Coturnix japonica: one gene and its partners. The protein of the gene in region 4 interacts with the protein of the main gene of each other region in a biochemical or structural test. Links are inferred from orthologs where the notes say so. Each region holds a gene or a part of one and is shown on either strand. Other genes may lie near its edges. The genes, in order: NDEL1, DCX, NUDC and PAFAH1B1.

Region 1 (5,269 bases), on a different chromosome or scaffold from region 4:
TTCCTGCTTGTGTTTTAATGGCTCAGCTGAGAGGTGGCTCCATGAAAATATCAGTTGGCTGCAAGATTCACTGATGCACTCGAGGGCAATGCTGCTGACCTGTTAGTTTAGCTGGTTCTGCTGTGTGTTGGATTCAGGCTTTGAGTCTCTTAAGATCTGGAAAGTACTGAGTGACCCACTTGCAAGAATGCTTTTGGGAACAGGAAGCCAGATCACAATCAGATAAATAAGTAAATAAGAACACCAAAACACGACTTAGTGAAGTTTGTAACCTACAAGCTCCAGTTTTTAGGAGCAATCATAGTGTGGAAATACTGTTCCAATTTAGGTGCAGAGTCGCTCTGTCCCACTGACTGTGTAATGGGCGCCTGAAAGGAGCCATCGCATTTTGAACATAGCTCTTGTTGTAGAGCTGCTCGGATCTGGAGTTCTGCCCGTGTAACTGAGTTTTCCCAGGGTGCTGAGTGAATGCTAAGCTGTGTTGTAATGAATTCTGAGTGGGCATCCACATGAGCCTGCTCTCATTTTCCCTGGAAGACGCTGCTGCATTGTCTTGTCTGCTCCTGAAAGCCCCAGTGTTGTTTGTCAAAGGCCCGATTCTGCAAATGCCACGTATACAGAGGAGCTTCTGAATGGGAAGGGCTTGTGCTGGGCTCAGCTCTGCACAATGCCTGCAGCCAATGCAGCCAACAGTGCGCTCAGCACGGCGCTTTGTATCCAGCTCTTGGCATGCCGTGGGCATCCACTGTCCCACGCATGGTCAGGGTTGTGTTAGATTCTCTTAGTGCTGTGGAGCTGCTTTTTGCCCCACTATGGGCAACGGATGGCAGAAGGGAAAGGTGCAGGTTGGGAGCTGTCTGTGTCTCCTAACCCTCAAAGCAGTATTTATGGTTCTGACCAGCTGTGGATGATGTGAGCCTGCTCTCATCTTTCTCTTGTCCCCCAGGCATGGGAGAGAAGACAGACAGTAAAAGCTTGTCTGCAGGAGTGCTTAGCTGGCATGTTGGCATGAGCATCGGATGGAGGTGTTTCTGTAGTGAGGTTGGTGGATCAAAACTCAGTGGTGGCAGCATTAGGTGTGATGGAAAACACGGAGCGTGGGGAGCTGTGAGCTGTTGCTGTATGATGAGATGGACAAGGCTGGGGCACTGCCTATGGCAGGTCTGCTCTGTCCCTCTGGGAGGTGGCTTTGGAGGAAGAGTGGGGCTCTGATGAACATGGGGGTCCCAGCACTGCTGGCTGCTGGCTGCTGCTTGCAGGGTGTTGGTTCCAAGGGTGTGTCTTGTGCAAGCAGACAGGAAGGAGTCTTGGACCCAGACACACGTTATCGTGGCTGCTTCTAGGAAATGATGTAAGGCACTTCCTCGTACTGACTTTTCTCTGAATTCAGCTTGATGGGTGGTTCCTTGGTTGTTTACCTTTAGACACAGCTGTGGGGCTGACCCTGTTCAATGCGGTGCTTCATTTAATGAGGTGAAAAAGTGATTCTGGCTGACTTGAGAGTGCCAGCTGAGAGCCAAGAGCCTTGTGACTTCTGCTGAGGTGGTTTCAATGTGATTGGTGTGGGACTGATGTTATGGACAGCACGCAGCAGTAATCAACTGCTCACCTCTTCCTCAACCCACAGATCTGCATAGCAGTTCAGGAGCTGCTTGACGTGTGCCTGAGCCACAGCAGATGTCTGCCTGCCTTAATGCATCAGCCTGTGAGACACTGGCAGCTCAGGAGGTGATTCATGGGCTCTGCATCCACTGTAAACACAGCTGATTTGTTCCTGTTGTCATTAAACTGCCTTGGTAACAGGTGCAATAACTGAAGCACATACACCCCAAGAGATTTTCATCTGAAGAGATACAGCAGGACTGTGGTGCTGGGGGGAATGGTGGTGCCTCCTATTGTTTTATTCTCAGCTCAGGGCCGTGTAGAAAAGGAGGCATGGTCAGTTGGCTCAGGCAGCATGAAGGCCTGGTTCGTCACAGAGTGCTACTGCAGCACAGCTGTAAGTTAAGTAAAGACAGAGAGAGAGCTGAGGGTTTTTGGATGTACTGAGCACCCTGCAGGTAAGGTTGGTTTCATGCCCTGGGTTGTAGCAGCTGCAGAGCAGTGTGCCAGTTTGGCTGTGCTTTAGGTGTGAGCCAGAATGGATGGGCTGCTGTGCCCTCTGATGGGAGTGCTGTCATCATATTGTCCCACTTCTGGGTGTCTCAAATGTGGGTCACTGAGATGCAGAGCATGACAGTGTGACACTTTCAGGCCTGGAGGGACAGCATTGGCTATTGATGACTGTCAGTATGTGAAAGTCAAGGCTTCTAGGTCATCTGCAGTGATTAATCTGCTGTGACGAGCTTGGTACAAACATTGTTTAAAGCCTCTGCAACAGAAGTGAGTTTCAGCTTATTCTTTTCTGGAGATTTATGATCTATTTTAAATGGTGTTTTCTGGAGAGGAAGAAAAAAAATGGCTACCTGTGAGTAAGAGGGAGCTTGGAAATGGAATGGAGCTGCCTGGGGCTGGGAGCTGGGCCTGGCTGAGTGTATCCCTGGGTGCTGCAGTGAGTGCAGGTCCACCACCAGCACTGCTTCATCCTCATCGTCATCTTCAGTAACATCTGAGGTCTGGTGTGTGGGGTGCTCTCGTGTGCAGTCATAGTGAACAGTGTTTGTACTATGCACTGTAGGAAAAACCTTTTACAAATCCAAGTGGAAACTGTGATAGCTGTAAATCATTACCCCTGGTGGTCCTAAATGAGCCAGTGGCTTTAACTGCTGTTTCCATGGTCGGTGAATGATACAGCCCAATTTTGTGGTCTCTTTTTCAGGCTGCTGCATGAGCGTTTCCAGAGGTTGGAGACCATGATGTTACTTGTTGCAGCTGGTCTTTGCTCAGAGGTGGCTGTTAGGAATCATTAACATTCTGCAGGCCAGTCTCAAGTCTGTTTGCTCCTGACAGGCCACAGCTTTGAAGTACAGCAGCAGTGGGGGGTTACTCTGCCTGCCTCATCATACTAAGCGTTTTCTTATGTCTGCATCCTACAGGTCATATTGAACATGGACAGTGAGGAAATTCCAACCTTCTCAAGTCCAAAAGAGGAAACTGCCTATTGGAAAGAGCTTTCCTTGAAGTACAAACAAAGGTACTGTTGGATATTTTCAGAGTGGATTTGGTTCTAGATGACTGAGAATGTAGCTTAATCTATTTCTCTGCTAGACTTTAATCAAAATGAGCATTAGATGTATTAAAATGAATCTCACCATTTCCAGCTTTAGGTGCAGCTTTTAGATCCAGCCTTGTGCAGGCTGAGTATTTCATTCTCAGTGTTACTATGCCATGAACTCAAGACTGAGCACGTTAGAGCAGGAGAAGAGCTCTTCTATGATCATGTGTATGTTTGTATAATTAAAATGCTGTCTTAAGTACTAGCTTGATGTTTTGCAGTAGGAAGACTGCCTGTGGGTTTGCCTGGTATCATTACTGTTCCCTCAGGCTTCTTGCACTTGGTCTGAGAAGTTTCTTATTTGGTAGCTGGCTGCAATATGTTGAAGCACATTCATTATAGCTCATAGTTCTGCCTGTGTTTGCCTCTGCCATCTTTTAAGGGGAGCAGAAGGCTTTTTGGTTACAAAAAGTGGCAAGAGAACTTGTTGTCTTGTGTGCTGCTTGTGGTTTGTTGTGGGGAGGGGAGTCAGTAGTGGTGGTTTCCTGCTCATTGCCTTTGGAGAGCTTTACTTGCACTCTATGTTAGTGTGCAATAGAAGCAAAGCCAGCTAAACCTCTCTCAAGTCCAAGGAGCCCAGTGTGCAAGCTGTTGTTTTGTTTGGGTCTGTTTTCTGGGTGTAGGGAACAGAGGGTGGGCATTTGAGATCCCTGAGCTGTATGAGAAAAGTCTGTCAGGTCTCTCTGAGGCCAATGAATATGTAGCTTCCTAAATATCATCAGTTTTCTCTGCTGGTTGCAAAGAGTTGAGCTATTACGTATGGTAAAGATGAGAGTGTAATTAGTGAAATATGTGGAGTTGCTGCTTCTAGTAATTTAATACCTTGCAGTGGCATAAGGTGGGTAAATGCTGGCTTCCTACCAAAGCACTTAGTAACCCTGAGATCCAAACCTTAATGCTTTCCAGCAAACTTATATTTCCAGGTAGTGCTGAGATGCAGTGACTATTGTTCTGTGCTGGTTTTTGCCTAAAGCAGGTTAAAAGCTTTACTTAGTGACTCTCTCAAGGCTGCTAGAGTGAAGGCTAGTGGGGTACCAAGTGTCAGACTTGCAGGAATCCTGGAAATAGCCTTGATATAGGTTGTATTTGCATGTGTATTGAATAGAGTTATTTGATATAAAGGGCTGAATTTCCATTTGTAGGTAAACAATGCAGTTTCTCTGTTTCCCCCAGTTTTTACTTTCCCTGTAGAGGTCCCTGGTTAAGTACTTTAAAACTCTTGGTGCTTTTTCACCTAATTATTTCTATAGAGCGGTGAACTTTGTGCTTGAGAGAAGCTGCATTTTGAACTGATGAAATCTCCTTACAGCTTCCAGGAAGCTCGTGAAGAGCTGGCTGAATTTCAGGAGGGAAGCAGAGAACTAGAAGCTGAGTTGGAAGCACAGCTGGTGCAGGCTGAGCAGAGGAATAGAGATTTACAAGCAGATAACCAAAGGCTGAAATATGAAGTGGAAACATTAAAGGTAGGTCTAATCTGTAATGATATTGATTCTTCCTTCAGATATGTGTCGGCTTTCATTTTAGGCTGTCTGTTCTTGTTCTTGGTTATTGGATACCTAAACGAAGTAAAGGGAATCATCTGCTTAAGGTCTAGTCTTGAGCATGGCATGTACTCCAAATAAGGCCAGCAGCATACCTTAGACACTTGTCATTGAGTTTGTGCTCCTCTGTTTATATTCTGCAGGCTTCGCCAAGTGGTGGCTTTGTTATGTACACAGGCAGCATCAGCATAGCAACGGGGAGGACAACACAAGTATGTTTTGTCAGACCACCATGTTGTCCTCTTTCTTTGCAGTTTTTGGGCTTTTTTTTTTTTCCTAATAGCCGTATCTATGGAGACAGGGTTTTCATAAGGATCTGTGTGTGCAGAAGGTCAATTTTAGGTAATATCTCTCCATTAAGAAGTTCTTGCCTCTTTTGGGATCCTGAAAAGTGCCTGTTCTGGTGATCTTGGATTATTTTATGAAAGCAAGAGTTGGGATCTTACCCAACAACAGTGATGTTTTTGGGACTACTGTTCACATGCGCAGTCCCAATAGCTGGTACTTATTTTTT
Region 2 (5,345 bases), on a different chromosome or scaffold from region 4:
AAAACAGAGAAGCACCAAGCATCTCCTGTACACTCATGCCTTTTTTTCCATCCATCTTTTCCATGCCTTTTTCCTTCCATCTCATGAGATGCCCTCCCACACTTTCCCACAAAACTACCACAGCAGCCTGGCCCACAGCAGCACACAGTCTCTGTAGAAACACTCCTGAAATACATTTCCTTGCACACGCACACTCCATTTGGACATTCCAATATATCTACCTTCTATACATGCCCCACATGAACCCTACTCATACACAGCATGTGAACCCCCCCCTCCCCCCAACACTCCTTCCTTACACATCACTATGCAGGAATCCTCCAGCACCACCTCTTACACACAAAGCCCATCATCCCTCTACAACATTCTCTGAGTGTAATCCCTCCAACACACCCCCTGAGCACGAACTCGCTCTAGGAACCTTCCTTACAACTTCTTCTGCATATGTCTATGTATAAAAGCTCAAATTTCACCAAGTGAAACCCCTTTCAATGCTCCCTTTTCTTGTACACATGTTGATCTTTAATTGCCCCCCAAACACAATGCACAAGCTCCTGACACACCCCTCAACCCTTCTCAAATGCTGTCTGAGACACTAATATACCCCCTTAAACACACTCACTCCCCAATCCCAACGTTCCATAATCCCCTGCACATCTCAGCCGATGCTCCCATACACATTGTTCACGAGCCCTACACACTGCACACCCTTACTACACACTGTGCATAAATCCCTCCTACCCCCATCATACATTGTGCAGAAATCCTGTTACATACATACTGCACGAACCCACCACACATACAATCATAGCACTTTCTACTTTCATGCATCCAATCCCTGTGGGACCCTAGCCCAGTCCAGACAGACATAGGGATGCCCTCAGACAGCCCCTTGAGCCATGCATGCAGCCATGTCTAGTCCAGAGTAAGACACACCCCTCAAGCTCTGCATCTGCACTAGAGTGAGCATGCCGGCGGCACCCTGAGGGCTGCCACACTGCTCTGCATCTCTGTGCAAAGAAGAAGACAGGGCAAGTTCAGCACAGAGGGGCAGAAGCATCCCCATGCCTGCAGTAAATGTGACCTTAAGAACAGGGAAGTGGTGTAGCCCCCTTCCCACCCCGCCTCCTCACTGCACCAGCCAGCAATGGCAATTACCTTCCTCCAGCTCATCCATGCTTCCAATCTTCCGCGATCCATCAATGGTGTAAATGTAACGGACTCCCTGAGGCAGATTAATGTTGTCAGACAGGGACCGGGTCAGGTCAGCCAGGAGAGCATCAAAACTTCGGAAGCGGTCGGAAGACACAGCATATACAATTCCCTTGAAGTAGCGGTCCCCGTTGCGATAGAAACGAACTTTCTTGGCTTTCTTCTCAGAACTCAGGGTCTGTAGAGTACTGGTTCTGTAGAAGCTACAATGAGCGCTGTGAGTGGGGCTGGGCAACCCATTCATACGTGAGCCTCGCATGTTTCTGGACGCCTTGTCTCGTTCGTCAAAGTGTCCAAAATCAAGTTCCATAGTTTGGTGAACCCTAAAGATCTGAAGCTGAGCAGTAAGATGGGGAGAAAAGGAGTGTGAAAAGGACAGGTTAGAGCCAATCAGAGCCACAGTCCAGCAAGAAAAATGACACTAATGTGAGAGCTGCATCTGGAGCAGGCCAGATTTATTTGGGAAGCATCCCCTCCCCTGACCCAGATTTGTATTGATTCTGGGGACTGAGGGTAGGAGGGGTCCTCGCTGTGAAAGGGATCCAATTACTAGGGCCAGGGAACATATTGCTAGACAGCAGTCTGCTCCTGCACCTGGGAGTTTTCAAAGTGTAGTAAATGGGGACTTGAGGCCAAAGGGAGCTGCATCTCAGCCTCCAAAAACTCATCCAAACACCAGTTGGCAGTGAATTAAACCTCTGAGCCCTGTGAGGTTTCCTTTGGCAACAGAAAACAAGGAGATCCCAGTGAGTCAGCCCTTCAATCTGTCGAATCACGGAAGGAATCAGAGCATCTGAATATTTAACATTAGAATAAACTGGTATTTATGAAGGAATGGTCGCAGGGGACTAAGCAGTTTCTTTGTGACAGCCTGTTCAATAAGGGTTAACAATGAGATCCATCCCACCCCTCCCCCTATCCGCAGCCCCCTCCTAGCCCATCAATCAATTCCCAGGACCAGCCTACATCTCTAAGAAGAAATGACTGCAAAGAAAAATCTGTCATTGAAATGAGGCTTCTATGAGCTCTTTTCAGCAGCCTGAGCCTCCTCTGAATTGCATTTCTGCTCCCATTTAATGAGGAAGAGAAAATAAAGAAGCTATTTCAAACTCTTCCAATCCCACCCCCCCCTCCTGGTCTTAAGTGATTTAATTGCTGGAAGTGCCCCCTGCCCAAGGGACACACCGCCCCTGCCAGCTCACCTTTCATTGTTCTGAGCACAGGGGGGCTCCTAGCGCAAAGGAAGAGCTCAGAAAAGCAGACTTGAGCTGACAGACAGTAATCAGGAATTTCTGCATGGTCTTTATTTTATGCTTAAGAACAATCTCCCCCCCCCCCCCCCCCCTGCATTTCCCCCCCCCCCCCCCCTGCACCAAACCCCAACACAAAAGGAGTAGAAATCCCCCCAGTCCAGCTCTTTAATTCCCTCTGTAAACTAGGAACATGCAACTCACGTATGTTGCTTGCATGTTAACACAAGGCAGAAATAGGATTTACATCCCACACTTGGCAGCCAGGTACAAATCTAGGAAAAGCTGTTGCTATCAGTTCCCCACCCCTCACATTTGCCAGAACCGCTGCTTCGCTGTGTTTTACAATGTCACCGTGACCCGCACGGGAAAAATCATTGTCCTCAGCCTGCAGTAAAGCAGATGACAATGCAGGCAATCTGCAGAGAAACCCCAAGTTAGGAACGTTTTCTGCACAATGCCAGCTGGGGTATATTCAGTCGGGTGACATGTACTGAACAATGAAACATCCAAGCAACTTCGGGAATGAAACGGAGGATTCGGGGGTTTTGTTTAAAAATGAACTGCAGATGCTGTAAGGTACTAAAAGAAAGATTCCTCCTTCCATCTGACATCTGCTACTTTTCTGCATGCAAGTCACTCGAAAGAGCTCTACTCACCGGTTTTCAGCGCGCAGGGTGGAGATGCTGAGAGAAAGAAAACCAGGCTCGCTCTGCCTTTGTTGTCTGAGCTCCAAGCAAGAAATTCCTGCCAGGGTGGATGAGACGCCTCCTAGGTCCTAGTGCCTTGTTCGATCCCTTCATGGTAACTTTGCCTCAACGGCTTTTACTCTAATCATCATTCATCTTATTGTAGTCTTCTCTGTATCTGAGAGGGGAAAAAAAAGGGTGTGTTCATTCCAGCTCTGGATATGTTAATAGATGGTTAAGCAAAAAAAAGTTTAAAGGGGCAAGTTTGGGGCTTGTGTTCTGAAGGAAGTAAATTTCTCCTTGGCTTTAACTTCACCAAGAAAGCATCTGGCCCCACTGAAAATAGAGCATAATTAGACACACTAATTTTATAGGATTACAGTATGGGGAGGTCATGGCTACTAGCTTACTATGTCCTACAGTTGCTGGCACAAGGCTTTAGTGTACTAGTAAAGCAACTTAAGAAAAAGTTAACCAGTGGCACTGGGCCCAGTTCTGCTGCCGTACTGGTTTCACACGGCATTCATGGTTTATACTGGCAAGCTGGAAGGGACAATTGACTTGGTGGTTACATATGCAGTGCACTTGAATAATTTTTCTCTGTTAACACTGGACATAAGTCAAAACCAAAGCTCTGAATTCAAGTACCCAAGGGGTTCGGGATGGAGTCAATCAACACAAACCTAACCCAACAGATTCAATTTGGCTTAAATCCCAAACAAACAACAAAAAAAATTGGACTCAACTGCAGGAGAATTCAGCTGTTCCAAAATTGCACTAACCTCTTTCCCTGAGACAACAAAATCTTCCACCTGCTTTGTAAGAGAGATTTCCATCCCATATGTAGAGGAGCAGCACTGCAAACCCCACTCCTAACCCTGTTGGAGCTGATATTATCTTTATTTTAAATAAGGCTTGGAAATGGGAGGGTCTTCCCATGTGTAGAAAGAAATCTTTCCTAACAAAGCTCTGTCTGTTTCGAATGAAATTTTTTCTTCATTCTGGCACATTATGCATTTAAACAGGAAATATATATATATGTGTGTGTGTGTGTGTGTGTATAAAATAGTACTTATTCCAGCTTTGTCTGCCCTGTAGATGATTGGCCAGGCAGTGCTGACAAATCCACTCAAAGCACCTCTTCCCAGCAATTTTCACACATAACAGTTGTGAAAAAGTTTTCTTCTTCCCTGAAACCCTCTTTTCATTCATATAAGGTTCCCTCGCATCCTCTGCAAAAGCTGTCATCTGCTCCCTTTGTGCTTTGTGGAATCACTATAGAGGAAACCACAGACCTACTCTCCCTCCTCAAGAATTAGTACTCAAGAGGACCACAGCAAAGAGCAAGATCTGGGTGTGTTTCAGCCTCTGCATGTAGACACAGGCAGCAGGAGGCACTTCAAGGATTCTCCTTCTCATTCCCAAATTAGATATATAGACATTCATCACCGTGCGCTTAATCTGTCCACGATAAACAATTCTTCCCTATACTATATATGACACTGTACTAAGTTCTCATCTTTTTAAAATGCAAAGATATGAATTATTATACATGTGCTCAGCACAGTAACAGCAAAAACAGAGGAAAGGAAATAAAATTTAGTCTTCAGTGGTGCATGCCTAAGGCATTTGGATACTGGTTAGGGGCAATGGGGAAGGGTGATGTAAATTCACGCAGTCTGTGGAACTGCACAACTTATCTCCCAAGTTTGACTTCTATGGAGTTTATGAAGACAGCAAATAGTCTCAAACAGTATTAAAATACAGCTCTTCTTTCTAACCCTGAAACCTCATCCACCAATGAGAAAATGAAATGTGTATATATATGGACATGCTTGCTCAGGACTCTACCAGACACTTTTGAGCACGGGCAGGTGCTTTTAAAAGCATTCAGATTTAAGCTCATTTTACTCTGTCAAGAAACCAGGTTATTTGTTCCTGACTGAAGGATAAGGCTTCTACAGTCAGTGGTAACAATGTTCATCTTCGGTGTAACCCAGTTATTTGTATAAGGTGCCCAAATCGCGGGAAGTACAATTGTCCCCCTTTAATCCCGCCACGGGCAAGAAGAATCTCAGCAGCCAGGGCATCATTGGAGATGAAGAGCCCTGAGGCCAGATTGATGTGACGTTCCCAGTGGAATCACACCACATTTGTTTCTCTGCAAATGAAAGCAGAATCATCTCATTCTACA
Region 3 (3,957 bases), on a different chromosome or scaffold from region 4:
GCAGCACAACCATTTGTATCAGAGAACTTGAGAGTTTGCTTTTCACAGCCACATGAGAAGTTGAAGTTAGTTGTGAAGCAAAGATTTCCGCTGGGACTTGACCATCAGTAAAATGAGCTTTTCAAATATTCCTCCTTTAAATCATGACACTGTTAAACTGTGATACCGATTGATTTCTGCTAGATTCTGCTGTTGCAGTGGTAACAAAGTTTTCAGGAGCTATAGAAACTCTTCATGGCAGAGGTTTTGTAATGCAGACATTAATATGCCTGGGGAAAGCTCAGCTGTGGGACAGGTCAGAAGTAGGTATAAAAACTAGGTCCAGTGTCTCCGTTCTTCCAGCTTTCATTGGTTGTATGGAGTAGCTGTCAGATGGGTTAGGAATGCTGGAATAGCACAGAAAGCAAGAAAGCAAAAAATACCTTGCTATATAGTGAGTTGGCTTCGTTTGGGTTTGGAAAAGAAAAAAAAAGGTAATTTCTTTTTAAGCCCTTTGGTGTGTGTTCTTGTCTTCCAGCTGATCACAGACTCCTTCAACCATCACAACAAACTGGCTCAGAAGGAGCGGAAGGAGAAGAAGGCTCGTCAAGAGGCAGAACGACGGGAAAAGGCAGAGAGAGCTGCAAAGCTTGCCAAAGAAGCAAAACAGGAAGCAAATGAGCCAAGGATTAAGGAACTTACAGACGAAGAAGCAGAAAGGCTGCAGCTGGAAATAGATCAGGTGAGAGCTTTGCTTGGCACACAAGGGTACCAGCAAGTATGTCAGATGAGCAAGTAATACAAAAGTATCAGCTATCCTAATGTGTTAATTCTGTTTTTAAACAGAAGAAAGAGGCACAAAAGGAGGTTAACAATGTCCCAGTGAAATCCTCAGAGGATGATGGTGATGCTTCAGATTCTAATGAACAGGTAAGACTCATCCAGTGATTTCATTTTGGACTGAGAGAAATATGTTTCTGAATAACCATGTGAACTCCTGTAAATATTAGGGGATGTCCTGCCTGCTTTTCTTTGAGAGGATGCACTGAAACTGATTTTCTCTTCTGTACTGTGTCCTGGTCATAACAATATTTAATTCTCAATATAATTTTCTTTTAACAGAAACACCTTTTCATTTTGGGTTAAATTTATGCAAATATCACATATGTTCAACTAACCCGAAACTCTTATAAAAATCTGGAATTGTGAAGGGTATATGGAGACTTGAAAAAACTTCCTTTCCCTTTTACATTGGCTGATTAGGAAACAAATGAAGACGATAAAGATGAGAATGATAAAGGAAAACTTAAGCCCAACTCTGGCAATGGAGCTGACCTCCCAAATTACAGATGGACGCAGACTCTTTCAGAGCTGGATGTAAGTACTGCCTTATATACGGATCTGAGGAATCTTAGCCACAAAGTATGTGCTGGTAAGAACAGTGATCCTGAAGGTTGTTAATTTTACTTAATGACAACATTCCAGTAGCTGAGGGACAGCCTGGTAATTAAATTAAATTCCCAGAAGCTGTAGGTAGCTCTACTTTCTACAAAGCGTTGGCAAACAAAGTTAGAACAGGACATGAAAATCTGCTTCCCTTCCTTAAAGATACATTGACCACCCAGTTGCTAAATTTACACTTGTATCCTTTCACCTCTTGCTTGACCAATGAGAATTATCGTATCTTACTCTGGCAAAAGGCAAAGTGTCTTACAACAGCAGCTCAAGAGGGCAAGGAGAGACTTAATTGCTCTGCTCCTCATGTCTGACCTTTGTCTGTTCCAGCTGGCCATCCCTTTCAAGGTGAACTTTCGGCTGAAGGGGAAGGATGTGGTGGTGGATATCCAGAGACGGCGCCTCAGAGTTGGCCTGAAAGGTCATCCCCCTGTTATTGATGGAGAACTTTTCAATGAAGTGAAGGTGGAGGAGAGTTCCTGGCTGATTGAAGATGGTAAAACAGTCACTGTGCACCTGGAGAAGGTAAAGCAGCATTAATTGGGGAGGGCTGAGACTTGTCTGCCACTTTCCTGGTGAAATCAGAATCACCAAACACAGGGCTTTATAAAGCTGGAACAGAAGAATCATGCTTGTCCTTGGTGCAGTGTTAGTGATGCTATGGAAGCCAGGGTGTTGCCACTTGATCCTGTCTGCAGGGAGGTGAGAAAGTGTCACAGGTTGCCCAGAGAGGTGGTGATGCCCCATCCCTGCAGACACTCAAGGTCAGGCTGGAAGGGCTCTGAGCACTGATGGAGCTGTAAGTGTCCCTGCTCATTGCAGGGGAGTTGGACCAGATGGCCTTTAAAGATCCCTTCTAACCCTAAGGATTCTATCATTCTGGATAGCTGAAGTGGTTAGAAATGAAAGTGGTGCCCCTTATTCACGTTCAGATTGTACTGATGCTTAGAGAATAAAGTTTAATTCCAGACACAGCATGCTAAGAGCAAGTCCAGGAAAAAGAAATAACTTTTGCTTCTTTGTTCCCTCAGATCAACAAGATGGAGTGGTGGAACAAACTAGTCTCCACAGACCCAGAGATCAACACCAAGAAAATCAATCCAGAAAACTCAAAGGTAAGAACTCCCTCTGTTTGAATGAACGAAGCCTTCCTATCTTAGAGGTGCTCCCAAAACTTCAACTAAATAAAGCTGAGATAAGTTAGAGTGTCTGATATTTCTCTAGCCAGTGCACACAGCATTGTGTGCATCAGAATACCCGTGTTCTGTGCAAGCAGAATAATGTGTGTGTGTGATTTCAATTCTGATGGAATTCCTTGGTTTCAGTTGTCAGACCTGGACAGTGAGACTCGCAGTATGGTGGAGAAAATGATGTATGATCAGCGACAGAAATCCATGGGCCTTCCCACATCTGATGAGCAGAAGAAGCAAGGCATTTTGAAAAAGTGGGTATACCTAATTGATCTGTGGGTACTGGCTTTCCCCTCTTCATCCTTCACACCAATATATAGTGGTGTTATAGAGGATCAGGTCGCCCTTCAGTGCTACCTGAGTTCAAATCTACAGTTACAAAGTCATTGAATTGTTGGCTAACCACCAGCATCTATAAAAGCCAATGGGGGTAGATAACATAATGGGAAGTTCTGGGAATAGTCCAGCTCTGGTATTGTCTTAATCTTCTGATTTCAAGTCCAGAAAGCATGTTTGAGCATAGAAGTACTGACTCCAGTGAACTTTAACATGGTCTTGATTGTTTTCTAATCTCCCTCTACTCAGTAGCCCAGATAATCTCCCTTACACACCTGTCACCAGACAGCTATCTCCAAGCCAATAGTCCTTTTATGCCTTTATTGCCTTGTTTGGCACAAACGCACCTTGGCAGGGAAATTACTCATGGAGCCCCCAAGGCCAGGCAGGGAGGCGTGGAGGCAGTTCTGAGTCAGGCATCTTCCTTGGAAAGTGCAAACCCACATCTCAGGGCTGGAGGGAGGATTGGTGTAGCAGACCTTCCTTCTGCATCTGGCTCCTTCCTCAGCTTATCTGTTCTGGCAGAAGCTTTGCTCTGAATGGTGTGCTGAGTTTAGAGTAGGGTGAGACTCTTAAAGACCAGATTTCCTCAGTGCCTGAAGGAGTTGTGGAATGGCAGGTCGTCTTTGCCTGCTGGAAAGTGCACATGAAGGATATCACAGCGAGACCACTGGTTCAGTGCTCTGCAAGCTTGGCCCATGTGCAGATTGGCTGGTAAAGAATGGATAGGAAGTTTAGACTGAAGTGGACTGGGTGACACCCAGGTGGGTTCTGATCTCTGCTGTTGAGTTCCTCCTGGCTGCTCAACAAGGATGCTGCTCTCACAGCACATATTTCCGTGGAGATGGAAAGTTTCATGTTAAACACAGCATTTCATGTTAAACAGAGGGATATGGGGGGTCTGCCCTGTCCTCCCCCTCATGCATACACCCTCCACATGGTTGTGTTGAATCCCATGGTGAAATGCAGGGCAGAGGAGGAATGCAGGGGCATCTCT
Region 4 (4,697 bases):
GGTTAGGGATGAGAACCCAAACCACAACTAAAATAACCACATTCACTGTCAGAACAATTTACATTTCTAAGCACATTACTTTCAATACCTTTCAACCTTTGTCAGGACTGCATTTTCCCAAATAAGTTTTCAAAGCAACACAGATGGCAATTTCTCTTAAACAGTGACATTCAGAGAGCAACAAAATGCACAATTATATCTTTGCTTGGTGCTAAAATGAGAAACTACTTGCCTACTACAACAAATCTGTTCTTGTCACTGTATACTGCAATAAAGGTGTGTGAAGATTGTTTAGAATTACTGAAAGTCTCTCCTGAAAGTCATAGCAACCTCACGGGACCTGCACATGTCACTTAAAATAAATGGGAAGAACCATTTTTCAGTTAAGAATACAGCTGCATAACCACTCTACTCTAAGACTTAGATGACTTGAGGCCACTGTCTTCTTCCCTCTCATCTCTGTATGCTCCCTATGCCCTCTTACAGAGCAGTCAAAACGTATTCCCCCATTTATTGTTCCAGTCTCCGATCCACAGTAGCTTAAGTATTTCTTCACAAGTCACGGTAAAACATAATTGCAGATACTAACTGGATCAGTATAAAACCAAAATTCATATATTATACCAGAAATCACATTTGAAATAACTGTCCCTAATGAAGCTAAAGCAGAATCTGGAGCAATCTTTCATCACTACAACACACATCCACCATGAAATTCTAATGCTACATTCTTAGCAGCTTCCTTTAATTTTTTCCAGCAAGCACATACCTTTATTGTGGCATCCTCTGAAGCAGAAACCATTACACTGAAAACCGGATGGAAAATTACTCGAGTGACAGGACTCCTATGTCCACTCAAAGCATACTTCTCCGGAGGACGAGGAATCCACTCCTTAGGGTCTCGTTTCTGACCAAGAGGCCCACCTGATGTAAATTCTTCCTTAGCTTCATTCAGCTTCGATTCTAATTCCATTACCTAAGTTTATGGGTTTTAAAGAGACCAGTTATGTATAGCCTTACACCAAGACCTAAATCATCTATAGTCATTAGTACCACCAACAGGCTTCCAAATTCACAATGAAGCACAGACAGCAGAGATCCAAACCAGCTAACATCAAACTATAGAGCTAATATTTCGAAATAAATTAAAATTTAAAATAAAAAAAAAAATCAGACCTAAATCAAAGCACTTAATCTCCTCCAGCTTCCCAAACACTTCTGGCAAGAAAATAAAGTTCCACCAAAACATATCACCTAAATACTGTGCAAAGATGTACAAGCAACTGACTCAAAAGAGATAAGGTTTTTGTGTATGTTTCTTGCTTATCTGGCACTTCTGATGAACTATTGAGGGAGTTTTTGTTAATGAAAACATATCCTACTACTGCAATTTGTTCTTTTGTATCCCTGAGATGGTGTGCATGTTAACCAACAGCAGAGAAACTGAACACGTGATACAATCTTATGTAGACTGACCTCTATAGTAGATAGGCCATTATTGTTGGTACACTTTGATTTTTAAAGCTTTTAATACCCTCCAGACCCACTGAAGCATTACTAAAAAGAGTTTTGTACCATCCATTTGCAGAAGAATCACATGCTGTTGTGCACTGGAGTTAATGGCTTCTTCCCTTTAATGTAATGGCTAAAGACATCAGCAGCATGGGGTACTTCTGAGTTAAGCCTTCTGGAGACAGTTATTCAGTCTTTCCATTCACAAACTGCCTTAGGGCACATCTTTCCTTTTCTGCCTCATACAACCCATAAACTGAAGTAAATAAAGGTTCTTAAAAAACACTAGCACTAAGATGGACAAAGACTTTTTTTTTTTTTTTAACAACACGGACATGCCCATTCTCCCTACTCAAATCAACCAAATTAATCTTTGAGGTATTTTCTAAACCCTGCATTTGTCTGAGAAATAAAAAAAATGTAATATTCTGTTCACTGATGAATGTTCACTCTTGGTTATAACTTCTGATACAAGTAAATCTATCAGATCTCTACTTACCTTCTTTTGCAATCTTATAACTGATGTCCATTTTTTCTCCAGAAGCCCGGCATACTTCTTATCTAACTCTTCATTCTGGGTAGGAGCGTTTAAAGAAATCAGTAAGTTCTATGTCCAAAATGTCTCTACAAGTCTCTCCAAAAGCAACATGAACAGCTCATTTTACACAAAAATCAAACGCAAGACTACAACCAGTCTTACTAATAAAAGGGAACAACCATACTTAAATTTTAATAACTACTGTTTACACACAGGGAAAAAAAGAAACTTTTAAATAAATAAATATTAAAGATAATCAGTAATACAGGTTAACAATGAAAGATTCTGCAAAGACAATCCCAAAAACTAGGACCAGACATCAATATCTGAAAGCTTTTTACTCTTATGTGCTTCACGTATCTGAGGAAATTGTGTTCCATTTTGTTCTTTTTCCTCCTCCTGCACATACTGACAGCAAGGACTGAGGCATACAGGACTGGACATCAGTTTCTCCAAGAGCCTTGTTTTCCATATCCACCAACCAGAGCATCAGGAACTAGTGAACAACCTACATAGCTCAGACTGAGCTCACACAGTACTGTTAGCACAGCACCCTTCCTTCTCAGGGAAAGGCACCTTGTTTGAGAGCAGCAGCCAACATCCAGAGGACAATTTAGCCCAAACTAATTTAGAACTATTTCTGAAAATGTGGTAATAGTTAACTTCAAATAACTACCATAACACTGCACAGGAAAAGAAGATTTAATTAGGTTGATAGATACAAGCAAATAAGTGAACGGTACTAGGAATTTCAACGTTAAATATCCCAATTTGTAATCTCTACTTATTTATTGCATACTTAGAAGCAGACTTTGCTGCTATAAGATATTATACTTCAACAAAGGATTTGGGGGAAAGGACACCACAATAATTCTAACAAAGAGAAGGATCTAGTAAGGATCATCTTTGAGTTTACTACTCAAGGCAGCTATCTCCAGAGAAGCAAGCTGCAGTGAAATGCAAGCCTCTAGTAAACGACAAGTTTAAAATTTAAGCTGTAAGAAATGACTGGTCCATGTCACCAGAATCCCTCCAGCCTGACAGAGAACTGCTTACCAGAGCTGATCAGCTTCTGTTAACTGTTTAACCTTGCCCTCCTACTACATCATTAACCAACTAGTATGCATGCAACAGTCACAGGTAATGGTTTAACTACTTACCCAACTGCAGTCACAATACAGACAAGGTCTTTTCCAAATTCAACAAAACCTTTCACTCAAAGCCAGGTTACCTGGAACTGCTCAGGACACATCCACATACTTATTGAGTATTTCTAGGGACTGACTCTACAACATCTGAGCCTGTTTCACTGCTCAGTCAAAAGGTTTTGTTTTTTAAAGTTCCACACTAAAAATCAGATGGAATTTCTGTGTTTCAGTTTCAGCCCATTGGCTCTTGTTCTGTCACTGAGCAGAGCCTAGTTCTGTTTTATTTACACCATCTCACCAGGTATTTACAAACAACATAAGATCTCCCTTGAGCTTCCTCTTCTCTAGGCTAAACAGCCTCAACTCTTGCAGCCAGTACGGAAGATACTCTGTTCCTTTACTGATCTTCCTTGTCCTTTACTGGACTCACTTCAGTAACTCCATGTCTTTTTTTTATTTTTTAAATACAGACTTTATCATCTTCCTTATACCTTCACATTGCCTTTCATTAACTTTGCTTTCCAGCACCTTTCATCTTGAAGGATCTAGGCCCTCTCAGGGTCACCATGCAAAGGAGTGTTAGCCAGACAGAAAGTAAGATTAAGTCTATGCCTCAGTCATGAGAAGATAAAGAGTTTTACTCAAAACACTTTAAGTCATCTGCTAATTGTGTTCTAATTGTATGGTAAGACAATAAACTATGCATGTGTACCACCTCCAGTTCTATCCGCATGAGCCAATAGGTAGATAACAGGCATACATATTCACAACAGATGCAAATACCATAAAGTGATAAACTCTTTACTTAAAATACACACAACGAATTTTGTTTGAACTCACCACATCTAATTCAGCTTCCTTTTTAAAAACTGAATATGCCTCTTCATAGCCATTAGAGCGAAGGTAATCTGCTATTGCTCGATTTCTAAAAAACACAAAACCAAAAACAGTATCTTTAGCCTGTTAGTTCTGAATAAGAGTACACGGATTGATTCAGGGCTTTTTGTAATTCTGTTGTTTGAATTGTACCACCTCAGATCAATACCCAGGGTGACCAGGTTTCTTACAAGCCCAGGCAAACTCTAAGAATACACTTGGTAAACATATTGTTTCAAGACACAAATAGCAACACTCACTTCTTAGAATACATACTCCTTAGTTTAGATTTGAGAAAGTAAAAGGTTACTTTTTTTACTACCAAACATTGGAGTAGCATGAATATACCTATCAATCTGTATGACACAACCTACAGGAGACATAAGAAGTGATAACTACATGTACGTACTAGTCTGGGGCTTTGTCTCTGAAAGAAGACTGCATTGAGAACAGTCTGCTGTACTTAAGAGCATTCACTGAATTCCACGCTTCAGTAAAACTTGAACACACTGTTTAAAAGAACGAGCCCTAGCTTTGTTTTACAGAACAATATAGTAATTTTAATTAGATTACAGGAAACAATACTCCATATGACCAAAACATACAGTGCTTCCAATCTTACA

What was found.
Region 1: the proteins of PAFAH1B1 (region 4) and NDEL1 form a complex in vitro, tested with the Homo sapiens proteins (3 studies listed by BioGRID). The link is inferred for Coturnix japonica from reciprocal best matches to the Homo sapiens genes PAFAH1B1 and NDEL1.
Region 2: the proteins of PAFAH1B1 (region 4) and DCX form a complex in vitro, tested with the Homo sapiens proteins (2 studies listed by BioGRID). The link is inferred for Coturnix japonica from reciprocal best matches to the Homo sapiens genes PAFAH1B1 and DCX.
Region 3: the proteins of PAFAH1B1 (region 4) and NUDC form a complex in vitro, tested with the Homo sapiens proteins (3 studies listed by BioGRID). The link is inferred for Coturnix japonica from reciprocal best matches to the Homo sapiens genes PAFAH1B1 and NUDC.

Annotation. Positions count from the first base shown.
Region 1 is NC_029533.1:1,496,083-1,501,351, forward strand, and holds the start of NDEL1 (nuclear distribution protein nudE-like 1), read left to right. Parts: upstream 1-1,649; 5' UTR 1,650-1,677; coding exon 1,678-1,728; intron 1,729-3,035; coding exon 3,036-3,133; intron 3,134-4,523; coding exon 4,524-4,677; intron 4,678-5,269. UniProt on the Homo sapiens protein: Required for organization of the cellular microtubule array and microtubule anchoring at the centrosome. May regulate microtubule organization at least in part by targeting the microtubule severing protein KATNA1 to the centrosome.
Region 2 is NC_029519.1:12,490,311-12,495,655, reverse strand, and holds the start of DCX (neuronal migration protein doublecortin), read right to left. Parts: upstream 3,366-5,345; 5' UTR 3,122-3,365; intron 1,550-3,121; 5' UTR 1,523-1,549; coding exon 1,159-1,522; intron 1-1,158. UniProt on the Homo sapiens protein: Microtubule-associated protein required for initial steps of neuronal dispersion and cortex lamination during cerebral cortex development. May act by competing with the putative neuronal protein kinase DCLK1 in binding to a target protein.
Region 3 is NC_029538.1:1,628,737-1,632,693, forward strand, and holds part of NUDC (nuclear migration protein nudC), read left to right. Parts: intron 1-517; coding exon 518-721; intron 722-825; coding exon 826-909; intron 910-1,242; coding exon 1,243-1,356; intron 1,357-1,764; coding exon 1,765-1,959; intron 1,960-2,465; coding exon 2,466-2,549; intron 2,550-2,759; coding exon 2,760-2,878; intron 2,879-3,957. UniProt on the Homo sapiens protein: Plays a role in neurogenesis and neuronal migration. Necessary for correct formation of mitotic spindles and chromosome separation during mitosis. Necessary for cytokinesis and cell proliferation.
Region 4 is NC_029534.1:8,195,123-8,199,819, reverse strand, and holds part of PAFAH1B1 (platelet-activating factor acetylhydrolase IB subunit alpha), read right to left. Parts: intron 4,124-4,697; coding exon 4,039-4,123; intron 2,087-4,038; coding exon 2,012-2,086; intron 977-2,011; coding exon 770-976; intron 1-769. UniProt on the Homo sapiens protein: Regulatory subunit (beta subunit) of the cytosolic type I platelet-activating factor (PAF) acetylhydrolase (PAF-AH (I)), an enzyme that catalyzes the hydrolyze of the acetyl group at the sn-2 position of PAF and its analogs and participates in PAF inactivation.